Linked DNA regions of Caenorhabditis elegans. The protein of the gene in region 1 interacts with the protein of each later gene in a pairwise test. Each region holds a gene or a part of one and is shown on either strand. Other genes may lie near its edges.

The links.
Region 2: the proteins of C13F10.7 (region 1) and ZK632.12 interact in a two-hybrid assay, tested with the Caenorhabditis elegans proteins (2 studies listed by BioGRID).

The regions. Positions count from the first base shown.
Region 1 is NC_003283.11:7,218,710-7,230,524, reverse strand, and holds C13F10.7 (CCHC-type domain-containing protein), read left to right. Parts: upstream 1-7,272; coding exon 7,273-7,387; intron 7,388-7,586; coding exon 7,587-7,658; intron 7,659-7,707; coding exon 7,708-8,189; 3' UTR 8,190-8,467; downstream 8,468-11,815. Other genes in the region: gei-6 (GEX Interacting protein), read left to right, coding at 5-119, 166-549, 596-1,633, 1,681-2,268, 2,322-2,985, 3,691-3,988; fkb-3 (peptidylprolyl isomerase), read right to left, coding at 4,296-4,724, 4,800-5,156; C13F10.1 (50S ribosomal protein L6), read right to left, coding at 5,584-5,595, 5,644-5,787, 6,157-6,447; kxd-1 (KxDL domain-containing protein), read right to left, coding at 8,468-8,511, 8,561-8,763, 8,813-8,895, 8,954-9,046; C13F10.6 (FTH domain-containing protein), read left to right, coding at 9,546-9,680, 9,735-9,873, 9,924-10,626, 10,820-11,168, 11,225-11,311; C13F10.5 (SAYSvFN domain-containing protein), read left to right, coding at 11,536-11,719.
Region 2 is NC_003281.10:9,824,812-9,837,003, forward strand, and holds ZK632.12 (uncharacterized protein), read left to right. Parts: upstream 1-5,990; 5' UTR 5,991-6,026; coding exon 6,027-6,042; intron 6,043-6,089; coding exon 6,090-6,482; intron 6,483-6,961; coding exon 6,962-7,170; intron 7,171-7,218; coding exon 7,219-7,359; intron 7,360-7,405; coding exon 7,406-7,447; 3' UTR 7,448-7,612; downstream 7,613-12,192. Other genes in the region: ZK632.9 (uncharacterized protein), read right to left, coding at 314-314, 370-503, 553-606; UPF0057 membrane protein ZK632.10, read right to left, coding at 1,837-1,884, 2,101-2,253, 2,299-2,340; ZK632.11 (uncharacterized protein), read left to right, coding at 3,107-3,189, 3,237-3,303, 3,350-3,429, 3,483-3,579, 3,630-3,913, 3,962-4,106, 4,151-4,360, 4,406-4,801; K11H3.8 (GYF domain-containing protein), read left to right, coding at 10,384-10,448, 10,497-10,897.

The DNA.
Region 1 (11,815 bases):
TCAGCCAGCGAGTGGCGGCAAAACAGAGGATATCTTCAAAAGCTATTGCAGTAATTGCAAAACTTTTTTTGGAATGTCCTCCAAGAAAGTCAGAGGAGTATTTTCGTTTGTGAATGAAGGTAGAGACACGATACTTTTATAGAAAATTTAAAATTACAATTTCAGATGGAAGAATATTGTCCAATAGTGAAAGACTTGAATTCCTTCGTTCTCAGAAAAGAGCCAGATCCGCTTCACGCTCAAATAGTGTATGTCAAGTACCTGAAAAAGGTTCGGGAGTTTCCAATTCTGACACGTCGACTAATGGGAATTCGGATGAGAAGGACGAAGAAATTGCTAAAGAAGATGATGAAGGCATCGATGAGGATGATGGTGATGAGGAAACACCTGAACAAAAAACCACCATCCCAAAAAAGAAACCCAAAAATGCGTTTGGTGGAAAATCAAAGAAAAACAATTGGGGAACTCGGAAGAAGAGCAAAGCCAAAGTCTCTCAAGTTCAGTCCACGAGTTCCGAGAAAATCAGTAAAAAGGACCAAGAAAATGCTCGTAAGTACGAGTTTTCGAATATTGTTGCCAAATATTTTATTTTCAGGTCCGAGAGAAACTAAATTAAGAAATACGCCAACTGTCACACCAATCGACAAAAAGAGAGGTCGACCCATAAAAATCTCACCAAGAGCTGCGACGATTTCGAGTGTATCAACAAAGCCAACACATACTTCTGAATTTTTCAAAAGTTCTCCTATAACGTCACATGTGTCCAAAACTGCGGAAACTTGCTGCCAAACCGATACGGATCTCTTATTGAAATCAACATATCTCAAGGAATGCTTCAATACAACTGTCAGAGATGCCCTTGGAGAGCCGGTTGCTGCTCGGTTAAATGATATGCCAATGGTTTTGAAGAAAAAGTTTCTACTTATGATTAGAACGATTAGCGAGCAGGAGAAGCGAATTTTAAAATATGAAGAGAACGAGGAGAAAAGTCTGTTGGCAGTGAAAACGTTGAAAGACTTCGGAAGGTCTACTCGACTCGAATTTTCCGACAGTTTCCGAAATATTCGTGCTGATTTGGTTGAGAGAAAAGAAGAATTCAAAGCTCATGAAGCCGAGGTTGTAGCAGTAATAAAAAGCCAGACAAGGACATATGAAGCTTATAAGCAACAGATGCAAAAAAACGCAGAAGATCAGAAATTGGAGTACAGCGCTCTGCTGGCAAAAGTTGAGTTCCTCCAACAAGAACTAACATATGAGAAGGATCGAGCTGAATTCTATCTGCGAGCAAGAGATGTATGCAAAAAAGAACAAAATAAAGCCATCGAACAGGCGGAAACTGCTGTGAAGAACTTGAATGATCGACTTTTTCTGGCGGATAACGAGACGTGTACTCGCTGCAAAACTGTCGAGAAGATACGCAAAAAAATGACGATGGAAGTGGCTGAAATGACTGAAAAATGTGCACGGGCAAATCAGGAAAGGAATGATGCGGTGGAGAGAGCCGCGTTATTCGAGTCTGCTGCACAGAAATTGGGTAAAGATTGTGATTCGATAAAATACGAACGTGATTCTTGGAAAGCATATGCGGAACGCTACAAGAAAGATGTCATAAAATTGACTCATACTTTGAAAGGTTATTATTTTTCTAATTATTTAAATTTCAAAATATTTAATTTTCAGAAAAGGATAAAGAGCTGCTGGACAAAATCGCTGAAATCGCTGCAACGCCTAAAAGTATAACAACACCGAGAAGCGTGGCGTGTACACCGAATGATCCTGAAAGGGTTTCTCCTCCGGAAGATGGGGAGATAGTTGACACTCCACCTCATTCATCTCCTCAAGCTACACTAAATCCTGCACCGAAAGCTGTCGCCAAGCCGTTGATACAACAAATTGTTGAAAAGAAGGCGCCGCCACAAATCGCGTCCGGTTTTGAATCATGGATTCCGAAAGAAAAATTGAATGCTCCGGCGCCTTCCATTCCAAAATCGGTTTCTGCTTTTGGAGTTCCATTGAAACCGCCGAATGCTGAATCAGAGAGGCCGAAGGTTGCACCTTCTTCTCAACCGAATCCGTGGGAAAAACTGGCAAAATCCACTTCAGCAGCTGCTTCTAATTCTCTATTTGAAGCTCTTTCTAAAGTTCAAGCTGATAATTTTAGTGGCGGTGGAAGCACTCCGTCGTACTCGAAATCTTATTTGGAAGAGATGAACCGAGTAATGAGTACAAGAAAACGCGTCGTAGAGGAAGCCGCAGAGGTACAGAAAAGTAAGTTTTTTTCAGATTTATTAACTGGAAAATTATTTATTTATTTATTTCAGAGCCAAATCCTGCTCCGTCCGGTGTTACTGCGACTCCACCCAAAAAAGCAAAAACGTCAAATTCTGTTCCGCCAAACAAAATGGTGTCTGCCGCTTCTACACCTTCGTCATCGTCTACCCCAGGCCCCGCCAGTACAAGTGTCGGCAGGTTCACTAATTTGAAAAAGATTCCGAAACTTAGTGAAAAACCTCCACAAGCCGAATTTGCTCCAGCTCTCGGATTGTCTCAGAAAAGTGACGAGTCCGGTGAAATACCAGGATTGGGAATGGAAAAACTAGATGACAGTGTGAAGGAAAAAGAAAAAGAAGAGATGATGAAAAAGATAAAGCCAGCAGAATCAACGACTCCCACTGTCAAAGCATCGCCGGCTCAAAATCCGAATAAGCCAAATACTCCAGCTCAGAAGCAGAATAAGTTCAATGGCTCTCCAAATAAGAAACCAAATATGAGACCCGTCAATCGTACTGGTAATTCACAAGCTCCTCCCTGGCAAAGATCCCGACAACCATCACCACCTCCATCAAATCAGTCGCCATGGCGTCAACAACCTCAGCAACAATATGGAATACAATCGAATCAGAATCGAGGTTTCCAAATGGATTTGGGTATGGACAGGCCTTGGAGCGATTCTCCGTCTGGGCCAAGTGGTTCACGTTCAAATAAGTACGTTTTTTAATTACAAAAACCAATTTATTTCATAATTTGAAAAGTCTTTAAAATTCTAAAAATATTCTAAAGTTCAGAAATATCGCAGAAAAAAAAATAAAAAATCGAGCAATACTTTAAAAGATTCAACTTTTCTAAATTTTTAAAAATGATTTTATCAATTTTGTAAAAAATTTAAAGTGCTGAACCATTTTTTTGAATTCTCTTCGCAAATGAGTGACGTCATTTTCGCGTTTTCAGGCGATACTGATTTTTTATAATATGAAACTTTATTTGTCAGTTGTCAAACATTTTTCCGTAAAGAAAACGTGAAAATTCGAAATAAATTCGCTGAAACTTTAAAATTAGCCTGAAATTCGATAATTTATATTTGAAACACTTTTGTGCGGAAAAATGTCTAAAAATTGATAAATTATGTTTTTATAAAATTTATATTATAAAATTTAAAAAATGAAGAAAAACCAATCAGTATGGCCGAAAAACGCAAAAATGTCGAAAATTATGCCACTCATGTAATTCAGAAATAATTCATCCCTTCTTATTTTTTTCAAAATTGGAGAAATCATTAAAAATGTACAAATTTTTTAACAGTTATTTATATTCGATGCAGTGAGAATGTTCTCTGTCATTTAGGGCAAAATACCCATCAGATGAATTCCAAACCATAAGTTATTCAGTTTTAATATCCAATTTCAATTTTAGCAGCTTCTCCGACCTACCATGGCATCGAGCTCAAGATACTCCATTCGGAAAAGTTCCTATACAGGACAATTTTGCGATGAGTGGACCACGTCCGATGCCTCCGCGTCCTATGCCACCTCAACAATCTCCGTTCTTTAATAATGCTCCTGGAAACGGCTTCTATCCACCACAACCACGTGATTTTTCCCCGCCGCAACCTCCACAACAATCTCGAATGTTCCCACCGTCTCAGCCACCATTTGGATACGCTGGGCCTCCGAATCAAGGACGAGGAAACCCACGTTCATTTTACGGCTAAAATGCTCTTTCAGGACTCACCTTGTTCAATTCCTCTAATCGATCGCAAAGATCTCATCTAGTACTATTTTATAAGTAGTGTGTTTTAATTTTATAAATACCTGATGTATAGTTTTTGCTTTTTATACAATTCCTTTTTTCGTAATGAACTGTTTTAAAATTACTTATTCTTTTTAGATATTTTATATTCATTTCTTGTGTTCAGTGGATCACAATTGTGTACTTTTTCTTTTATTCATTTTAATACAAATTTATTGTTCTATTAAAAATAAGTTAGAAATTCATGAAAGTTGGGATTTTCAGTTAATCTAGAGTTCCTCTTTTCCTGGTCTGACAAGTTTCTCAAGTGAGAGATCGAAGTGAAGGTACGAGTTTCCTGGAATTGCTGGAGGTCTTCCATTTTCTCCATAAGCGAGCTCTGGTGGAATAACAACTTTTCTCTTCTCTCCCTGACACATTCCTTCCATGGCAATGTCCATTCCCTTGATAACTTGTCCGGAGCCCATTTTGAAGATAAATGGACGATTGCGGCTCCAGCTCGAATCGATGAAAGATCCATCCTCGAGATTTAGTGTGTACTGTTGATGAAGTGTATCTCCGGCTTGAGCCTTTTCGGTGCATCCCTCTACCTCGTGAGTAATGTGAATGTGAACTCCTTCATCAGTGATCCACTTGGCTCCGGGTTTTGGACGGAAGATTGATTTCAGCTCGACGAAGTAGTATAGAGTTTCTCCTTTCTAGAATAGTACAAATTACCATTTTATTTGTTTTGCAATTTAAAAATAGATTTTAAAAAATATAAATCAACTTACTCCTTCTACTTCATCTCCATCTTCGTCGAATCCTTGCTCTGGTGGAATGATCACTTTTCGCTGTTCGCCGACACACATTCCCTCCATTGCAATTTCCATTCCATGAATCACCTCGCCTTTTCCAAGAGTGAAAGTGTACGGCTTTTGGCCAAAGTTGCTTCCAATCACCTTACCTTCCTTGTCGGAAAGCTTGTAAAATTGCTCCAATTGATCTCCAGACTCGGATTTGATTTTGCATTTTGAGTCTCCAATTTTCTTGATAATTTCAATCTTGACACCTTCATCAGTGGTCCATGAACGGTCATTTGCTGCCCAACAGATGGCAAATAATGCTGAGGCAATAATTGATTTCAGCATTTTTGTGCTGGTTCGGTTTAGTCACTGAAATGGTTACTTAATTGTTGTAAATAGGCGGAATAAGTTACAAGAAAAGAAAAATCAAAACTTTTGAATTCAAAAGCACTACACGTGGAAGGAAAAGAAGGAAGCAACGACCGTCTTGCAAGTGTCTCCTTCCACTCATCTAGTTTATTCCGTTCTCGGTGGCTACCGCCACATCTCCTCTTCAGGTTTTGTTGCCGCGCAGTCCGAAGCCTGAGAGACGCAGATGAGAGACCTTCACCTTTTTATCTGCGCATTGGATCGGTTGTTTTATCAGAGAGATACTTGTTTTTTATTCACCACAAATCAATAAGTTATAGGTAACACAATTGGGAACGATTTAATGACGTGGCAAGATTATGGAAAGAGTGCGGTTTTTTTTTGGTTGGCATAAGTATTGAGATTATCGGGATCTCTGAAAATTAAAACTAGTTAGGTTTTTTGGGAAAATGAAATTTCTCACTTTGGAATTCAAATTGACTCGTTCTGTAAAACTTGTGTAGATGAGATTTCCAACTACCAAAAGTATCAATGATAACGATATGAAAATAACAAATCCGGCGGAGACACGGATCATAAGAGCAGCATAGTCGTATGGTTTCTCGATCTGAAAATCGGAAACTTTTTTTCCTAGTTGAACAATGCCTCTTTTTTGAGAAGGTAATTTTCAAATATTATATAACCAACAAAATTAACACTGTGGTTACGGTAGTATTTACAAAGTTACTGTAGACGTCGCAACGAGATATTCATTGTGCCAAATATGCTGCACAGTTCGTATAATTTCTGGCGGTTGCGTAATATATCGCAATTTTTAATCTCCTAAACTTCTCACTTGAAGGTACACGAATTCATTCATATAGGTCTCACCGCGAGGAAAATAGATCGTATTTTTTTATAATGAATATTAAAGATTTATTTATAACTCATAAATAAGAGAAAACTAGATTATTTCTTCAAATATAATAGGACTCACCTGCATTTTGGACAGATTTACTTTTGGAAAAAGATGGCGTGCTCTGTAACGACCCACTAATCGTGGAGAAAGTAAAGTGAATTTCGAAACGACGCGACGAGAGAACGTATCATGAGCGAGAAGCCGGGCAGTGTGCTTGAGAAGAGTTTGTCGAGAGCATCTTGTGCCCAGACCCAGCGCGGGAGAAAGAAAAGAGAAAGCGGTGGGAGAGGTTTTGTATTGATTTGCGGACATATAACAGATGGGGGTGGAGCTCTTGGAGTCATTTGTCAAGCTAACTTCGATCATCATTCGTCAAATTAATTTATTGGAACACAATATAATGAATGAAAGGAAAGAGTGAATTGGAAGCGTGTCGATTTACGGAGCTCGTGTACTCCCCGAGGAAAACAGTGAATTTTTGTTTTTCAAAAAAATATATAGTTCTTTGTGAAACGATTTTCGCGAATTCTTTTGTCAGTTAATTTTGAAATCGCTAATTTGTTCAATATTTTTATAGTATTCCAAATAAAATTCGCATTATTTACTGTTGTAAATCTACGAATTCTCGTTTTCTGTGGTTTTGAGTAGTAAATTAATAGATTATCCTCGAAAAAACTCGACGAAAATACACAAAATATGAGATATTATTGACGATTTAATAATCCAGAAATTTGAAAACTTGCAGGGTTATAAACCAGGAGTGCTTTTCGAACATTTTCGAGAAGTTTGCATAAATTTGCATCAGATAATACCTTTTTTCTAATTAAAAATATTTTATTCAAAATTTCAAACAACACCGTGCTAATGTGCTCTAGTGGAAAAAATCGTATTAATTTCGAAACTTTTCATATTTCTTTCTCACTTCTTCCATTGCTGCTTTTCACTTTTCTTGATAGTTCTCTTTTTTTTTGTTGAAAAAAATCTTATTTTTAAATCTTTTCAGCATGTTTTCCAATTCTTCTATGTTCTCTGATTAAAAAGCGCCGAAAAATCGATAATTTTTCTATAAAACCCATCTTCCCTTGAGAACAGTTCTTCCCCTCTAAAACGCGCATAAAACCAGCGTCTTTTACCACCTCTTCACGTTATTTTTTGCTTATTTTTAGTACTCCCTAATATTCACTACAATTACAGATGGCGAACGCTAACCTGACTCCGATGCCGTTTGTGCGAAAATTCGGATCTACCAGTACAACTGTAACTACCACAACTGACACAGATAGCCCATTATCAAAAGATGATGAGTCAGGTAAGTAATCTTAAATTTTCAAAAATTAAATTACTATGGATTTATTCGCAAAAAAAATGTTTCCGAACAAAAAACAATTTAGGGGACGAAAAAAGCGAAAAAAAACTTTTTTGAAAACGACTCCAAAAAAGAAACTTGGTTTTTTGGAAAAAAAGTATTTATAAATTTTTCAAAAAAAAAACTCAAAATCTACTTTCAGGTAAAAAACCTTCACTTGCTTCCCTAGCACAGTCAGCGTTCCCATCAAGATACGACCCGAACGCCTTTGTAGGTACGGTAGTTCATAGGAAATTAAAATCACATAATTTGTTTAATTTCAGATATATCAGGTGCCGCAATATCTGCCCCCGCAGTCACGGGAGCATGCAAAAGATGTGGATATCCGGGTCATCTATACTTCCAGTGTCGAAATCACATTGAAGTACGTCCAAATGTATCGACAAAAGCGTACGAGGTCAGTTCGACATCATCTGAATCAAGTGACGACGAGACTCCGCTCATTGCTTTGGAAAAGCAGCGGAAAAAGGAGAAAAAGCTGAAAAAGAAGGCGAAAAAAGAAAAGAAGAAGGCGAAGAAACTCGAGAAAAAGGAGAGAAAGAAGGAACGGAAAGAGAAGAGAAGGCGACGAGATGATTCTGATGATAGTAGTGATTCTGATGAGGAAGAGGATAGAAAAAGGAAGAAGAGCAAGGAAAGTAAAAAGGAAAAAAGAAAACGCCGTCATTCTTCCTCAGATGATAGATCAGCTTCTTCCGATTCTGATGATGACTGTCGTGACTCGAAACGTCACCGTAGATCATAATCGTGTAATATTGATATTTTAACTCTAAATTTTTATTCCGACAGTAACCACCTCCACATTAATATTTTCTCTATTCAAATTTCTATTGTTTCTCTTGTGTCAAAAAGTCCCCATAGTGAAGTTACTAATTAAATTAAAAACAAAAAATTTTATAACTTATTTCGACTTCACTTTAATCAAAAATTTGAGATCTTTATTGAATTTCTGTGACTTGTATTTGTTCCAAATGATCTGTTATTTTTTTTCTTCTTGTTTTTCAATTACGAATAAATTGTATTTCATTCGTCTTCCTCGCTTCGTTTTGGCGTTAGCTCGGCTGACACTGAAATTTGATGAACTTTTTAAAAGTATTCAAATTAAAATATCTGCACCTTCAGCATAAACTTCTGGATACTTTGACGACAAAACTGTTTTGAACATGCGAATTTTTTTGAAAATAAATTCCAAATCAGTTTTCATCTGCAGAATTGTCTCTTTGTGTCCCACAGAATCCCTTTTTGCTTTTTCAATTCTTCGATCGCCGAGTTGAGCGCAATTCATGAGCATTTCATTTGTCTTTTCGAAGCGTTTCAAGCTGAAAAAAAAAGAAAAATCAATAAATTCTAAATTCTCCAGTATATTACCTCTGTCTCTGAGTATCAATTATGCTTTGAATTGTGAATTCGTCGATTTGAGAAGTGAGCGAATCGATGAGATGTGGTGTTTCCTGCATATTATTAAATATTTTTATTCCTTTTTCCCATTATTATTATTAGAAAGCTTACGGGCATGTCAAATGAAGAGCCAGCGTTGCTTCTTGATGGGAAAAACGGGTTGCCAGGTAGTCGTTCTTGTTGTTGGTGATTTTTCTCAGCCATTTATAACTGAAACAAAAAATTATTAATAAATGTTTTATTCTAGACACAACAAGACATAAAACATGAATAACGGCTGAAGCAGGGATTGAGAAAAACAAGAAAAAAGCATGAGAAAATGGAAGAAAAGAGCCGCGCGCTGTGAGTGTGCAACTCGAAAATGTCAAAGCAAATTTATCGATTTACGCACGCGCGCACTTGCTGACACGCATCTGGACGGCGTTCCGTTTCATTTGAAAATAGTTAAAATTAAGCTAATTGTTGATTTATTTATTGAATATCAATTATAAATCTTTTCACGAGAATCCATTAGTGACCACCACCACGCTCCGCTAGTCTCCCCGCACCTTTATCGATTCGATTCGGTCAACCGAATGTTTGTTCAAGCTGTTGCGCATAGATTTGTGTTCTTGTTCCGCTCATATCACATATATTTTTGCAGTTTTTGATGCCAAATGGTGAGGAAACGAAGACGTTACTATACTGGAATGACATGCTAATGATGAAGATTATCGAATTTGTTGAGAGGTTCAAAGATCGAAATTCACTGGAGCTTTCGAGTCGAAGATTGAGAGAATTGTGCTTGAAAACTCCGATTTCTGGAAATTTTGCGATTCGATTGGAAGAAGATCCTAATGTGAGATTGCTTATAATTATTTTAAACCTGTATTATAATTATGTTTTATTTCAGTGGCCATCAATTCTCACTCTTCTCATGCGACCTCGTAATTTCTCGTCCCGTCTTTCAGTTCGAAACTGTTCAGATGTTCCTGAAGATGAACGTAGCGAAATAGTAGGCTATAATTACAAGGATACTATTCAAAATCCAGGTAATTACTGCAAAAACGATAATTTTCAGGAATTTATTATTAAATTTAAGATGTTTTCTTCAACGGAGTCAGCAAGCGACTTCTCAATCGGATAGTGGAGTTTGAAATTAGATGCCGTCGATTTACTGTACAAATTCTGGACAATATAGAAAAGTTTCCCAAATTAAACAGAATCATTGTGAGAAATGCACGAAACTTTTCGTTTGAATTGGATGAGGAATCAGGCGACGCCGCCGTTTTGGATCGAATCGAATCATTGGAACTTCATCTCGATCGACAATGGTGTACGGAAATTGAACGAATGAAACGACTAATAAATCCAAATTTGAAACATTTCTGCTGCCACGTCAATCCGAGCCTATCTAAAAACTCGTGGTTCATTGAAGAAATTATGGTCGAGATGGCATTGCATGAAGTTCAACTGGAAACGTGTCAGCTGGTTTTTCCTGATCCACAAATGCCGCGAAATCTTATTATTGCTTTGACTCAATTCATGTCGGATAGATCACGAGTTTTACAAGTATTCATCACAAATGGACCATATAATCTTTCACCGACAAGAAAAATGATTCCAACTTTGAATATTCAATTTCGAGACGAAGAGGATAATACTGTCAAGGATCTAGCTGATGCTTGCCCGTCGATATTCAAAAAAGCAGAAGTTATTCATATGACGAATCTTCACGAAGACGGCTTTATTCAACTCGAAACGGTTCTGCCGATAATGTACTCTGTCAAAGAGCTTCTCATATCGTATGTTCAATTTTCGAAAAAAAAAGAGTAGAGTCGTTTGCAAAATTGAAAAAAAAAAATAATACAAAATTTAGAATAATTTTATACATTTTTAAGCATCTTATATTCGGTATACTGAGACTGGTTACTGTAATTTATGGAAAAAAACCACTGTCTCTACTCCACTTTTTAATTTAAAAAAACAATTTTTCAGAAGCTGCCCTCAGAAAGAAGAGATCTGTCCAATCGATCAAATTCTTGCATTCATTCCGTCAACAGTTCGAACACTTTATCTAAATGACTGCAAGCTGACTCCATCTTCCATTGATCTATTAATTTCCCGATGTTCTACAACTCTCCGGAATCTACATTTTCATAATAATGGATCTTGTAATACTGTACAAAATTTCACAAAACTTTTGGATGGCCTTCAAGAACTAAGAATATTAGAACTGGATATGTTAATTCCGCATCTTTTATTCCCAAAAATTGTGGAGCACCAGAAATTAGAAAAACTCATTGGACTCGTGAACGGAACTCTACCGGAAAATTCATTAGAAATTGTAAGTTTAAATTCTAAAAATTATTTTTTTTTTTCAAAATTTGTGAATATTTTCAGCTACGCCAACATTTTAACCACGTCAATCTCAAGAAAATTGATCGTCAAAAACATCAACTCACGGTTTCCAATCCATCTCATCACTGATCTCCAAAAAAAAACCATATTTGATCTCATTTCTGTGATTTTGAAAATTAAACGAAAAATCTAAATAGTCGAAAAATTTTATAAATAAGTTTTAATTTTTATTTTTGAACTTTTCAGTTTGTTTTTTGATGGTTCGTAAATCCATTAATATTATTTCAAACGACTTCCCAATTTTTAGTTTCAAATTTTAAATAGCTCCCCTCCTCTTTAGAAGATCCATAAAAATGAGTGATGTGCTCCGAAACCTTCAAGAATTTCGAAAAGAGAAAGAGAAAATAAAGTTAAAAGAAAGGCAAGAAGTCGAGCAAACTACACAAAAAGACGTGGAAAATGTGATAAAGAAAGAATCGCCGAATGGACGGGAATGGAACTTTTTGACAAAGGCTGAGCCGGTGCCAGAGGATTATGGTGAGCTTTTTTTTTTGGAAAAGAATCGAAAAGTTGAGATATTTGGAAAAAAACTTTAAAATTATTAGAAAACTTTTCTCAAAGTAAAAAAAAAAC
Region 2 (12,192 bases), on another chromosome or scaffold:
GACGAATTAAACGTTAGGCCGCAATGAAGTAATTGTATTGATTTCTTCTTCTAAAAAATAATTCTCACAAAACAAATATTTATTTGATGTGAACAAAAACGGGATGTGAAGAAAATTACTCGGGAATTTACAATAAAATACAAAAAAAAATCGATTGCTAGACAGCCTAGCCGGTGGGTACTTTACAAATTTTAAATTTACACAATACGGTTAAAAATAATGAAGAAACGAGAAACAAGGTAAAAAACATGAATCAGTGGGCAGTCGGTGGTGGAATAGAGAAATAGTGTCGGGCAGTCACATGAAGAATGATTCTGAAAAATCAAAAATAGGAACATGGTCCGCAAACACGGTAGCATATTAACGCACCACTTCTCTTTTCTCTTTGCCTCTCCGTTGCTGGCGGTTTGAACAACCTTGCGAGTGTCCCCTCCTGGCTGAGATGCGTGCTTGTGCTCCACTCTGTCAGACTTGGTGCGCTTTCCGCTTCCAGTGGTGAGATCCTAAAATTGAAATTATTCAGTTTAAATACAATATATGCATTGCACTGACCGGTCCTCCGGTTTGCTCGAATGCGGCAGCCATTTCTTCAGCAGTCGACGACATCTCGTTGGTAATTTTCTGCAACAAAAAATTATTATAAAGCTTAGAGACGTGTAAGCAACACAAAAATGAGAGAATGAACCGACACAAGAATGACCAAAACAAGTGTTATCAAAGTGAAATGGACGATGATTGGCAGTTGCATGATTAGAAAGAAGTAGGCAGAAAAGGGAGGAGAGTGCCAAGAAAACAAAACTGTGAAAGAACCGATTGAATAGCATTTGAAACGATTGGAGTGTGTTTATTTGAAGGACGATAGTGACAAATCTAAATTTTGGCGCGCGTAGTGTTGACGAAGATCAAATCTATTTACAAGTGTAAATGTTTAAAATCGATAATTTGAAATTTTCGATTAGGAATAAGGCTGAAAAGTATTTAAACAAAGCTTCAATTGAGAAATACCAGAAAAATTCGTTAAAAATTTTCAACGAGTTTAAAGGAGGGCGCATTTGTGTGGAATTTGTGTGGCGTAGAGATTTCTTTATTGATTTTTCTCGTTTTTTTTTTTTAATATTCTGACTTATATTGCGTTTATCAGCCATAATAAATGTTAAAAAGGTCGAAAATGAGAAAAATCAATGGAGAATGAAAAACAACTCTAAATGAGAGTGCGTTTTTGTAGAAAAGCTCTACAAAAGTGAGAAATAAAGTAACGTTTTCAGGCTTTTTTTCAAGAATAGAAATCTGCCTGAATATTTTTAGCGAATCAACAGCAGACGGACAGTTTCATTCAAATACTCGTATTTATACATTTGCGTTGGCGCCAGAGACACGTGATGGATAGACGAGCGGAGACCATCGAAAAAAGTAAAAATGAAAAGAGACGCAGAGCAGCACATTTTGAGGGCTGACTTGTTTCTGCTAGATATATTGGTGCGGTGTCATCGAAGGCACAGAACAAAAAGAAAAAAGAAGCAAGAAAGAAAAAAAAGAAACGAACAAACAAGACAAAAAAAATAAATCGATCGGAACAAAGCACCGATAGATCATAAAATGGTGATAAATAAAACAATGTATATCGAAAAGAGGAATGATTTATTTTTTCAATGGAGGGAATGAACACAATCTCATTAAGGCCTTAGAATGAGAAAATTCGGCAAGTGATACAGTTTTTGATCATGGACCTGTGACAATAAGTCAAAATTGCAAGGGGTGAATTAAAGGTTTACAAAGGATAAAGAAATACATTTATGTCGTGGAGCGCAAAGTAGGAACGTGTCTTGTCGTGAGCATTTAAGCCGAATAAGGAGAATAAGCTGGTGGAGCGGTTCCGTGGTCATTCTGAAATAATTTTAATTTAAACATTTATTAAGCTTTGTAGAAAGACAACAAAGGAAACAGTAGGATGAATCATGGACAAGAAACCGACCCCCTTGTAATAAATTTCAAAAAAAAAGTCACCATTTTATCAAGATTCAAGGGTATCTGTTGTTCTGAAATTTGACAAATCACTATCTTTTTCCTTTTGGCTAATCTTTTTTCCAACTATCCACTTACAGTCTGCACGTATATGTTCTGAACGACAGTCTTCTCCTTGCAAAGGATGATGTACCACGCGTGAATGATTCCTGGGATGATCCCGAGACAGGTGAGAAGAATGTTGATGAGGAGGTCACAGTTGCATCCAACATCCAGAAGCACAGCGATTGGCTGGAAAATAGTGGTTGAAGAATGGTTTCAGACTGAAGAACTCACCGGAAGGAAAATTGCAAGGATGGCGAGAAGAATCTGGCACATTTCGTTTTCGTTTCGACGAGACTTGAGCTGAAAAACAGAGATTATTGGGAGAATTGCAAGTATTGAAGATAGATTAAAAAAGTGTGAGATTTCGGTGATTAAATTAAACTATAAAGTCATCACTTCCAGCAACACGGAAGGTTTATCGATTGACGATGAATCAAAAAATTGCGCAATCGACGAACGCGATTGTGGTTAGAATCACAAGACAACACCTCGCTCGTTGGCTATCGCTGTGTGTCTGCTCTCTCTTCAGAACTCTCGTGCTCTAATACAGAGAAGCATGAAATGTGGTGCTTGGTGCCTAAGGAATTTTTTAATATAAAAGTTGACGTGTCAGAATCATTCATTTGAAGAAAATGCAGAAGAAGAAGTAGAAATACTGTGAAAATTGTTTTTAGTATGGGTTGTAATTGTTTATTTCAGACAGTAAATTGTAAAGCTAAATATGTTGTGAAAACAATTTAATTTTAGAAATATTATTTTTAATCTTCAATCAATGTAGCAATTTTCAAGAGAAAATAATGCGAAAACCTGATTTTCTTTTGATAAAAAAGAATAAAGTTTGAAAAACAAACATGTAAACAAGTTACGGTGAATGTTCACAGAACCTGCATACAGATTCGGTGTTTGCGTACATGTGTACCGTACCCACAAACAAAAAACATGCGTTGATTGGAAATTTCGCAATTAACTTTTATTTTTGTCACTAAAATTATTATTAAAATATTTAGTTTCATAATTTCTCATAAAATATTTTCAGATAATGTCCGATATTGAGATTATTGAAGAAATTCAACCAGTTTCGTTGAAGCGGAAGCAGCCGAGTACTTCTTTCAATGGAAAAAGGTTTCTTTTTGGAAAATAATCGAATTTTTTGATATTTTCCTTTTTAGAAAAAGAACTTCTTCTGGGCTTATAGAAAAAAGCGAAACAATGAAAGGAACGGAAACAGAGTTTGAGGTAACCTTCACAATATTCACTTCAGTTGATTTTTTTTGTTTTTCAGAAGTTCGTCATTGATCGCACCATCACTCCACAAAGAAAATTGAATGCAGAAGATGTAGAAAAAAGTGGAGAAGATATAGGGTAAAAAAATATATAGTTAATTCAATGACTTTTCCAATAAAAATTCATTGCAGGTCGAGCGAGTGGCGTAAACGCCTTGAATGCACTCTTCTCGGAAGCGTTTCGACCCCAGTAACTGTGAAGAAGGAGAATAACATTAGAAAGAAAATAGTAAGCTTTTATTCATTCACAAAGCTTCTTAAACTAGGAATTTGTTTCAGTCTTGTTTCAATTGTGATGGCGAACACAACCTGAGAGATTGTACTCAGCGGAAAGATTTCAGACGAATTTCAAGGAAAAAGAGGGAATCTGGTGATGGAAGGCAAAGAGTTTTCTATAATGACGTTGGAATATCAAAACAAAGAGAGAAACATTTCAAACCTGGTGTGATCAGCGATAGATTAAGAGCCGCTCTTGGATTGCGTGGGAATGATATTCCGGAGCACATTTATCGAATGAGAAGACTTGGGTTAATCGATGGATATCCGCCAGGCTGGTTGAGAAAGTATGAAAATGGTAAATTTATGCAATTTAATATTGTTATTAATTTCAGATCAATCAAATCCACCGATCAATTGAAATTCTTCGACTCGACATCCAAAGAAGATGATGAAATGTCAGTGAAGCCTCCTGAATTAGATACATCGAAAATTGTATGGTATCCAGGATTCAATGGAGAACAATCTTCTCTAAATGATGTAAGAACAAATATGTTGTCACTTTAGAAATTACATTTTTATAGCGTGAAGACTTCAAGATTCCACCAAGAGATGTATTTTGCTCAGTTTATCAAGATGAATTGCTGAAAATATTCAAGAAAAGTGAAAAAGCGGAGAAACGAAGAGCCAAATCAACTCCGAAACATAAAAAGTTCGCTAATGAAGATGATGATGATGTTATAGTAATCACAAGTGATGAAATCAAAATTGACAAGTTCAATACTCCGGGAGAAGTAAATTAAATTAAAATAAAAATTCAATATCAGTTACTTTTCCAGGAAGATTCCATTATAATACTCGACGGCTCTGCTTCAACAGAAGAAAAACACCTTTTGACTCCGATTCGAAAAGATGTAAAACTAGGAGAATCGATGTTTGAATTAATCGGAACTCCAGTGTTTGGTAGCTCTCTTCTTACTCCTGTTGCTCCACTTGAAGCGTTTGCCGTCGGAATTCAACCATTTGAAGCAAGAGAAGAACTTACTGGATGCAAGGGAAACTTCAGAAATCTCATGGACAAATTGAAAGAAATCCGCGAAAATAACTTCGTTCCGGAGCCTGAAGAAGAAGTTATTTTGGTTTCAACGAATGAAATTTCGTCGTCGAATAACTCTGGAACTGCTAAGAACAAAAATAATCAGAACAGGAAAAGAAATAGAAGACATGCTAAATGAATTGGCTTTTTGAAAAATCCTTTTGTTGAATTATTGTTGTTGCTTAAAATTGTTGTTGTTGTTCCATATTTTTACGCAAAACTACCATGATAAAACCTTTTTTCTTGATTTTCCAACCTCTCTCTTGTTGTAAATGGTTCCGAATGTCCACAATCTTCTATTTTGGTCATCAATTATATCTTTATCTCTGCGTTTCTTTCACTCTTGCCGCTTTCCGATGGATTGGTGACACACAGCAAATATCGGTTTTCTCAATTTAAACTAAATTGGTCTAATTGGCTTATGTTTAATCAGATTATTTCGAGAAACCTGTGAATATTAAAAAGATGGTATAGGTTTTGAGGGATTTTTTGCCGAATTTATTTTTTAGAAAGTGATGGAATTTTTTATGATTGCAAATTTTTTTAAAAATTATTTAAAAACGAGCTGAATTATTTTTTGAATTCCCGCGCAAACGAATTCCTAAAGTTTCGACGTTTTCAGGTTATATTATTAAGGTTTTTATTAAATTATTGATTCGAAACATAATTTTGTAAAACTTTCATACATTTTTTCCCGCAAAACAAGTTTACATTATTGATTTGAGGCCAGATTTAGAGTTTCAGAGAAGTTCTTTAGATTAACAAAATAAAATAAAAAGAAACCCCAATTAATATAGCCGGAAAAAGCAAAAAATATCGAAATTGTGTAGATCACTTGCGCGGGAATTCAGAAAAAGTTTAGCCTTTTTAATCATTTTTTTTCCAAAATTGAAAAAAATCATTTAAAACAATGTTCAAATTTTGTAATTTTGTTACAGTTATTTTCGGTAAATATATTGAGATTGTTATTGTTAATTAGAAGGAAAACCTACAAAATCTGCTCCCATACCATGCATAACTATATTTAAGATCCGAAATCTTATTCAAAAAAGTAATAAAATTAATTGAAACCTTTTTTCCAGGCCACCAGTTGTTCTTATCATTCATTCGTGACAATTTATTCATTGCATTCTTTTTCTTTCGTTCAGGCAGCGGTCCACTGGCTTGTCCATCCGATTGTTTGCACATAAAGTGTATGATGACTCATCACATTCCTTTTCCCTCTCTTCTTATTCTGTTCTCACTCAAAATAATTTTTTGTTATGATTTTCAACCTTCTTCGTCTCGAACTAAATTTATGAATTTTTTGAAATATTCAAAGTTTTCAGCGGATTCTTTCCATCGTTTCTAAATCACAAAACACAATGGTTGATCGACTTGGTAAGTTTTATTTATTTTCTTTTATAAAATAATTTATTAAATTTTAGTGAATAGTGAAGTGAATTCCCGTCGAATGGCTAACGTAGAACAATGCTTTGGAAAAATGGGAGAACAATTGTCGGTATTCGGACGAGTTCTTGTCGGAGAAGGTGTTCTTGTGAAAATGTGCCGAAAGAAACCGAAGCAACGGCAATTCTTCTTGTTCAATGATATTCTTGTATATGGAAACATTGTGATTTCGAAAAAGCGATATAATAAGCAAAGAATTCTAAGATTGGAAGGTGTACAAGTAGAAGATCTGGAAGACGATGGAATTGAGAAACATGGATGGATTATTAAGACACCTGCAAAATCGTTTGCAGTTTATGCAGCAACTGAAACTGAAAAACGAGAATGGATGTTGCATATTGAGAGATGCGTTACAGATCTCCTTGAAAGAGGTAATACACGAAAATTATTTTCAAAAAATTTCCACCAAAAAATTGCAGAGAAAGTTTGAAACCACCGTAATCTTTAAAGGCGCTTACCATTTTCCGTTTCAAAAAATCTTGTCGTTTCGAGACCGAAAACCGTATTTTTAATGCAACAATCGCAACATTTTTCGTCTAATTAATATTAAGCTTAAATAAGTCTTAGGCGCATTGTGGTCTTTTTATTTAAAAAAATGTTGGCAGCAATGTTCAATTTAATTTATAAATTGTGATGCAAAATTGGTCCATAGATCGACAAGTTACAGTAATTTGTTGTCCGCCTGGCGAGACCCATGCGCCTAAGATAGGTGAAAAATTCTCATATTTAAATGACCAATAATATACGTTCTACAAAAAAATTGGGAATCACCATATCTCTAAATTAAAACGGTTTTTTAGATAAATTATTTTTTTCTATTAAAAATACAATCAAAATTTTCTACTTTCAGGAAATAAGCAAGCCGCGACTGCTCACGCAGCTGTATGGGTTCCCGATGGTGAAGCAGTGAAGTGTATGGTCTGCGGGAAAACTCAATTCAATCTGGTTCAAAGAAGACATCACTGCAGAAATTGTGGACGTGTCGTGTGTGGCGCCTGCTCATCGAGAACATTCCGTATTGACAATGTACATAAGAAGCCTGTCCGAGTTTGTGATCATGTACGGTGAAGTTTGACACTTTATCGTCTAAATATCATGATTTTTCAGTGCTTTGACAGTCTGAGTAGTGCCACACCAGGACAAGAAGAAAGTGAACCAAAAACGGGAAATCGCTTGCACCATGAGGATTCCTCCTCGGATAGTGAAGACGAGGTCAATGGTAGTGGACGATCGAGTAATGAGAGCCGGGTATACTGAATATTGCCTAATCTTTCAATAAACATACAAATTTCAGCCAACATTCTACCGTGAGGACGTTCAGCAGCCGGCAACATAGTTCAACGCATATAAACTACGATGAAAATTCTAAAATCCACGTCCTCATTCCTACTACTAAATTAATATTATATTTTCTTAAACGTTCCTGTGATATACAGCAATTGTACGTATTTTTTTTTGTTGCTTCCAACGACTTTTACAATTCCTGAAAAAAAGTTATTTCCTTTTTCTTCAATTCAAGATTATTCAGAACTGCACAAAATTAAAACGACCACATGACAGAAGGAATCATTTTAATAATCATGAATTACAGAAATGATCAAATTTCTTGTCCTTACAAGAAACAGCGCAATTAACTGAAGTGTTCAGAGAAACGTATGGTCCATTCGGCTTGGAATCATATAAATGTTCTTAAATTATTAAAAGTAAAATAAATGTTTTATTTACATATGATTAGTGAAATCAGAGCACAAAAGTGTGCAATGAAAAATAAATTTTATTTTCTGGAGTACTGTAAGCGGGCACATGGTGTATTGTACGCAGAGTTCTTCGAGTGTTTGCGTATCCACGTTGTTCTCCACGTGGACAAAACGCGCGGCACGTTTACTTTCTGAAAATTCGTTTTATTTTTGCATTACTGTCTTCTTAAAAGCTGAAAATGGCTGCAAACGAAGTGTAAATTTCATAAATTCCTAAGCTTTTATTCATATATATATATATATATATATTTCATCATGTCCTATTTTTGCAGTGATTCCATGGAACCAGGAGAATTGATGGAAGTGGATACGAGCCAGGAGCTGGATGAAAACACTTCGGCGAAGGAAACGGACCAGCCGAGTTCGTAATAATGTTACCATTCGAAATAACCTTGTTCAAAAGTTTTCAGAAGATGCTCAAAATGATCCAGAAATTGTATGCGGCGATAGTAATGAGGTCAAGAAGGAGTCTCCGAGTGTAGAAGAGGATCAGTCAAGTACTGAAACTATGTCTAATGAATTTGAAGTGGCCGCTGCAATTCTCGAACAAGAAAACGAAGATTCCGGTCAGAACGCCCCCAGTTTGGGAGAATTGCTGTCTCGGAGTGTGAAGTTAGAAGCTTTTTTTGTTACTTATTTTAAAAACATCATTTCAGTAATTACCACCCTGAACATTACTCTTCACCACCTCTCATGCGTAAACCCGATTTCCGTTTTCCAATCATTAATCCTGGTTTGTAGAAAAACACGTTTACTTAAAAGATATTGTGAATTACAGAGAAAGCTCAAGGAAAACTATTCGTTCTCTATCAGCTGATTATTACCGTTCCGGACTCGTTGAAGAAATTTCCTCCGTACACATCAGAAACAGTTTGCTGCCAACTGTGCGGAATCGATTTGATGGGATCAGCTATGTTTGCTCATCTGATCACTATCCAACATCTTAAGTTATAGAACTGCTTGTTCTCAGAGAATGACGTCGATTTCTGGATTTATAAAGTGAACAGTGTAATCGAGCAGGCGCCTTCAAATGGTAAAGCTCAGTTTACGTTCTTTTGTTTTACTTTTGATTTCAGCTCTGATCCTACCAGGTTTCAACCCTGATACAAATGTGAACTTCTCGGAAACGGTCGGCGAATTCATCAATCGATCGAAGGGATTCGTTAAGAAACCGAGTACGATTAAAAAAGTTCCGTTGTTAATGGAAATAATTTAAATAAATCAGACCTCGAGCAGATCAAAGCCGTCATTGGTGCAGTGATCGATATTAAGGCAGCTGTTGAATATTCGTCAATGAAAGCGAATAGGCCAAGTAAAAACAAAGTTAGGAGCAAGAATTCTAATTCAGAGCAAAAGCGAACCGGAAACTTCCTCTCTCAAGTCGTCGAAAATCTCATGACCAAGGTTGACGCGAATATCTTATCGAGGAGGGTTGGAAAACTATTCAAGAATCACGTATGTTGCTTTCGAAAGTATTGTAATTTTACTCAATTATTTCAGAATGAGTGCACTTTCTGCAACATAAAATTTATTTCATTTTTTGAAATGTGCCGTCACGTGGGAAGCATTCAACTCAGAATGAAGGTAATTTTAATTGAATGTTTCGCCGTTCTGCCGTCTTCCAATAATTCTAAATAATTTCAGATTAACCACTTGCGTTATCAAGATGTCCATGTTGGAACTTGGGTGCGTTTTCTGGCTTCGGCAACTCCACAGAAACAAACAATTGAAGATGTAATTGACGGAGGCTCTTCGAAAAAGGTGCATTCACCTGAAATAATCTATATTGACTAATATATAATATTTTATCGTGTTTTATAGGATCTCAATTCGCTTTTATTAATCTTGTGTCATAGAAATTCCTATGTATTCGTTTCTTTTTCTTGTAAAGTAATTTATTTTTCTTCTATAATATAAACTTTTTTGGAATTGTATCGTTTATATAATTTCGAATATAGTGTATACTTTACACTTTTTTATATCTTTGATATTTTCTTCCGAAGGAAGCCAGTTTTAAGAACTAATATGCTGTACTTACCATTCGTTGTAGGATTTCTGAGAAAACTCATCTCAATTTTTTTAAAAAATAGTTCAGATTTTCTGCGATTTCATTTTTTGGAAATTATATTTTAATGAACAATTAGGTAATTTAATGCAATTTTTTAAAGCCGTTGTGTGCTTATGGGGATAAAATTGTATCATTCCAATAGACCCAGTTTTTAACATTTTTTCTTGCAGAAATATTATCTGACTATTCGTTTCTTCTTTGAAAATTTTTTGATTTATCCGTATTTTTTCATATAATTTTCAAATTTTTCTTCCAAAAACCAAAAAAAAGTTAATTTTAAAAAAGTTAAAAAGTTTATAAAAAAATAATATTTTTGACTTTCGAAAAATAAAATCAAAAAGCCGACACCATTGCTTTTTGTTATACGAAGTAATTTAGAAAACCTCTTTGAATTTTATGAATTCAAAGAATAATAACTATGTTTCAAATAATAATATTTATTTCAGAATGGAGATGGAAGACATAGACGACGATATAACTGTGTTCTACACTGACGATCGTGGTACAGTACAGTAGGTTTTCTATTCTTTTATGAAGTTTTAAGTAATTTCATTTTTCAGAGGACCATACGGAGCCTCAACTGTGCTTGATTGGTACCAGAAAGGATATTTCTCGGACAATCATCAAATGAGATTCACTGACAATGGACAACGAATTGGGAATTTATTCACATATGAAACTACATTGGGTGAGATGAAAGCGAGATATGGAGAAGAAGCACCGATTCCGACGAAACTCGAAGATTTTAATTTTCGTGGATTCTCAATTAAACCGAAATCTAATAAAAGACAACTCGATAGAGATCCACTTAAATTACCAAGGAAAGTGAATCCGAGAGATCTGGAACCAACCGATGCCAGAAACAGGAATGGAAATTATGAAAATCGAAATGAATATGGTTATAACTGTGATAGACAAAGTACAAGCGCAGTGGATTCTAGGAACCAATCTGTACCGCCCGGTATGTTTTTTTTCAGAAAAGATACTTACCGTATTTCCTCTATTAGTCCGGCAGCCTCTATTAGTCTTGCACCCCTACGGACCAATCGAAAATTAGTCTTGCAGCCTCTATTAGTATTGCATGCAAGACTAATAGAGGAAATACGGTGATAGTCTTGCACCCCTATTCCTGCCAGACCAGCAGTATTTTGTGAAAATAATAATAATTGTTTATTTGTCACAAGAAAGAGCTACACCGGAAGATTAAAAAAAAGTAAATAAAATGATGTGTGGACAAATAAGTAAAATGACCAGTTGGACCAGCTATAGCCCGGGAGGTCAAGTTGAGGGGAAGAGGGTGTCGAATGGAATAGAGCCTAGGCGCGACGCAAATGCATTTGGAGTTAACAATTGAGGGAAACGTTTTGCTATTCGATTCCACAACGACAAGTTAACATGTAAAAAAAATTTAGACGGGACACCACAGATAACAAGTAGATAGGGGTGACGAGTAGAGCGTGAAGCTCGAACAAACGATGATAAGGACGGGAAGTGATACTCGCTTGAAATAATTTTATGGAAGGTTCGGAGGATTTGAAGAACCCGTCTGTGGTGAGTAGACAATAAATTAAATTGTGAAAGCCTGCTGCTGTATGACGAGTAAGATAAATTGCACCTTTGAAAGACACACTTTGAGAAAAACCGGAGGGGAGATTCTAGTTTTTTGGCAAGTTCGGTGGAGTTGGGCGGGAAGAGCTCGCAGCCATATTCGAGTACGGGGCGGATGTAAACATTGAACAGTTTAAAATAGAATTCGGGACTTTTAGAGCGGAATGAGCGAAGGATTTGGCGACACTTAAGGAGGGCACTATTAGAAGTCTGATTAATATGATTTACAAATGATAATTTGGTATCGACAATGATTCCGAGATCTCTGATAGAATCACGCGGTTTAATTTCAACACTATTTACAAAGTATTTATGACGGGGGTTCTTTTTACCAAAGTGTAATACGGCAGTTTTTTGCTCAGCAAGATTTAGACGCCATTAAAAAAAAAAAAAAACTTCAAAAATTTCGCCATTTTTTAGTTAAAATAAATTTTAAAGTGTTCAAGTAATTGATAAAACAATAGAAAAGCATGTATTTTGCACGATTTAGACTGTTTCAAGCCAAATTTTTGACGATAAATGATCAACTTTACAAAGCTATTGGATCTTCGAAAATTAGTCATGCATGCAATACTAATAGAGGAAATACGGTAATTATTTCTGGAAACTAAATAATATTACTTGAGCACTAAATTCTGAGAATGCCTA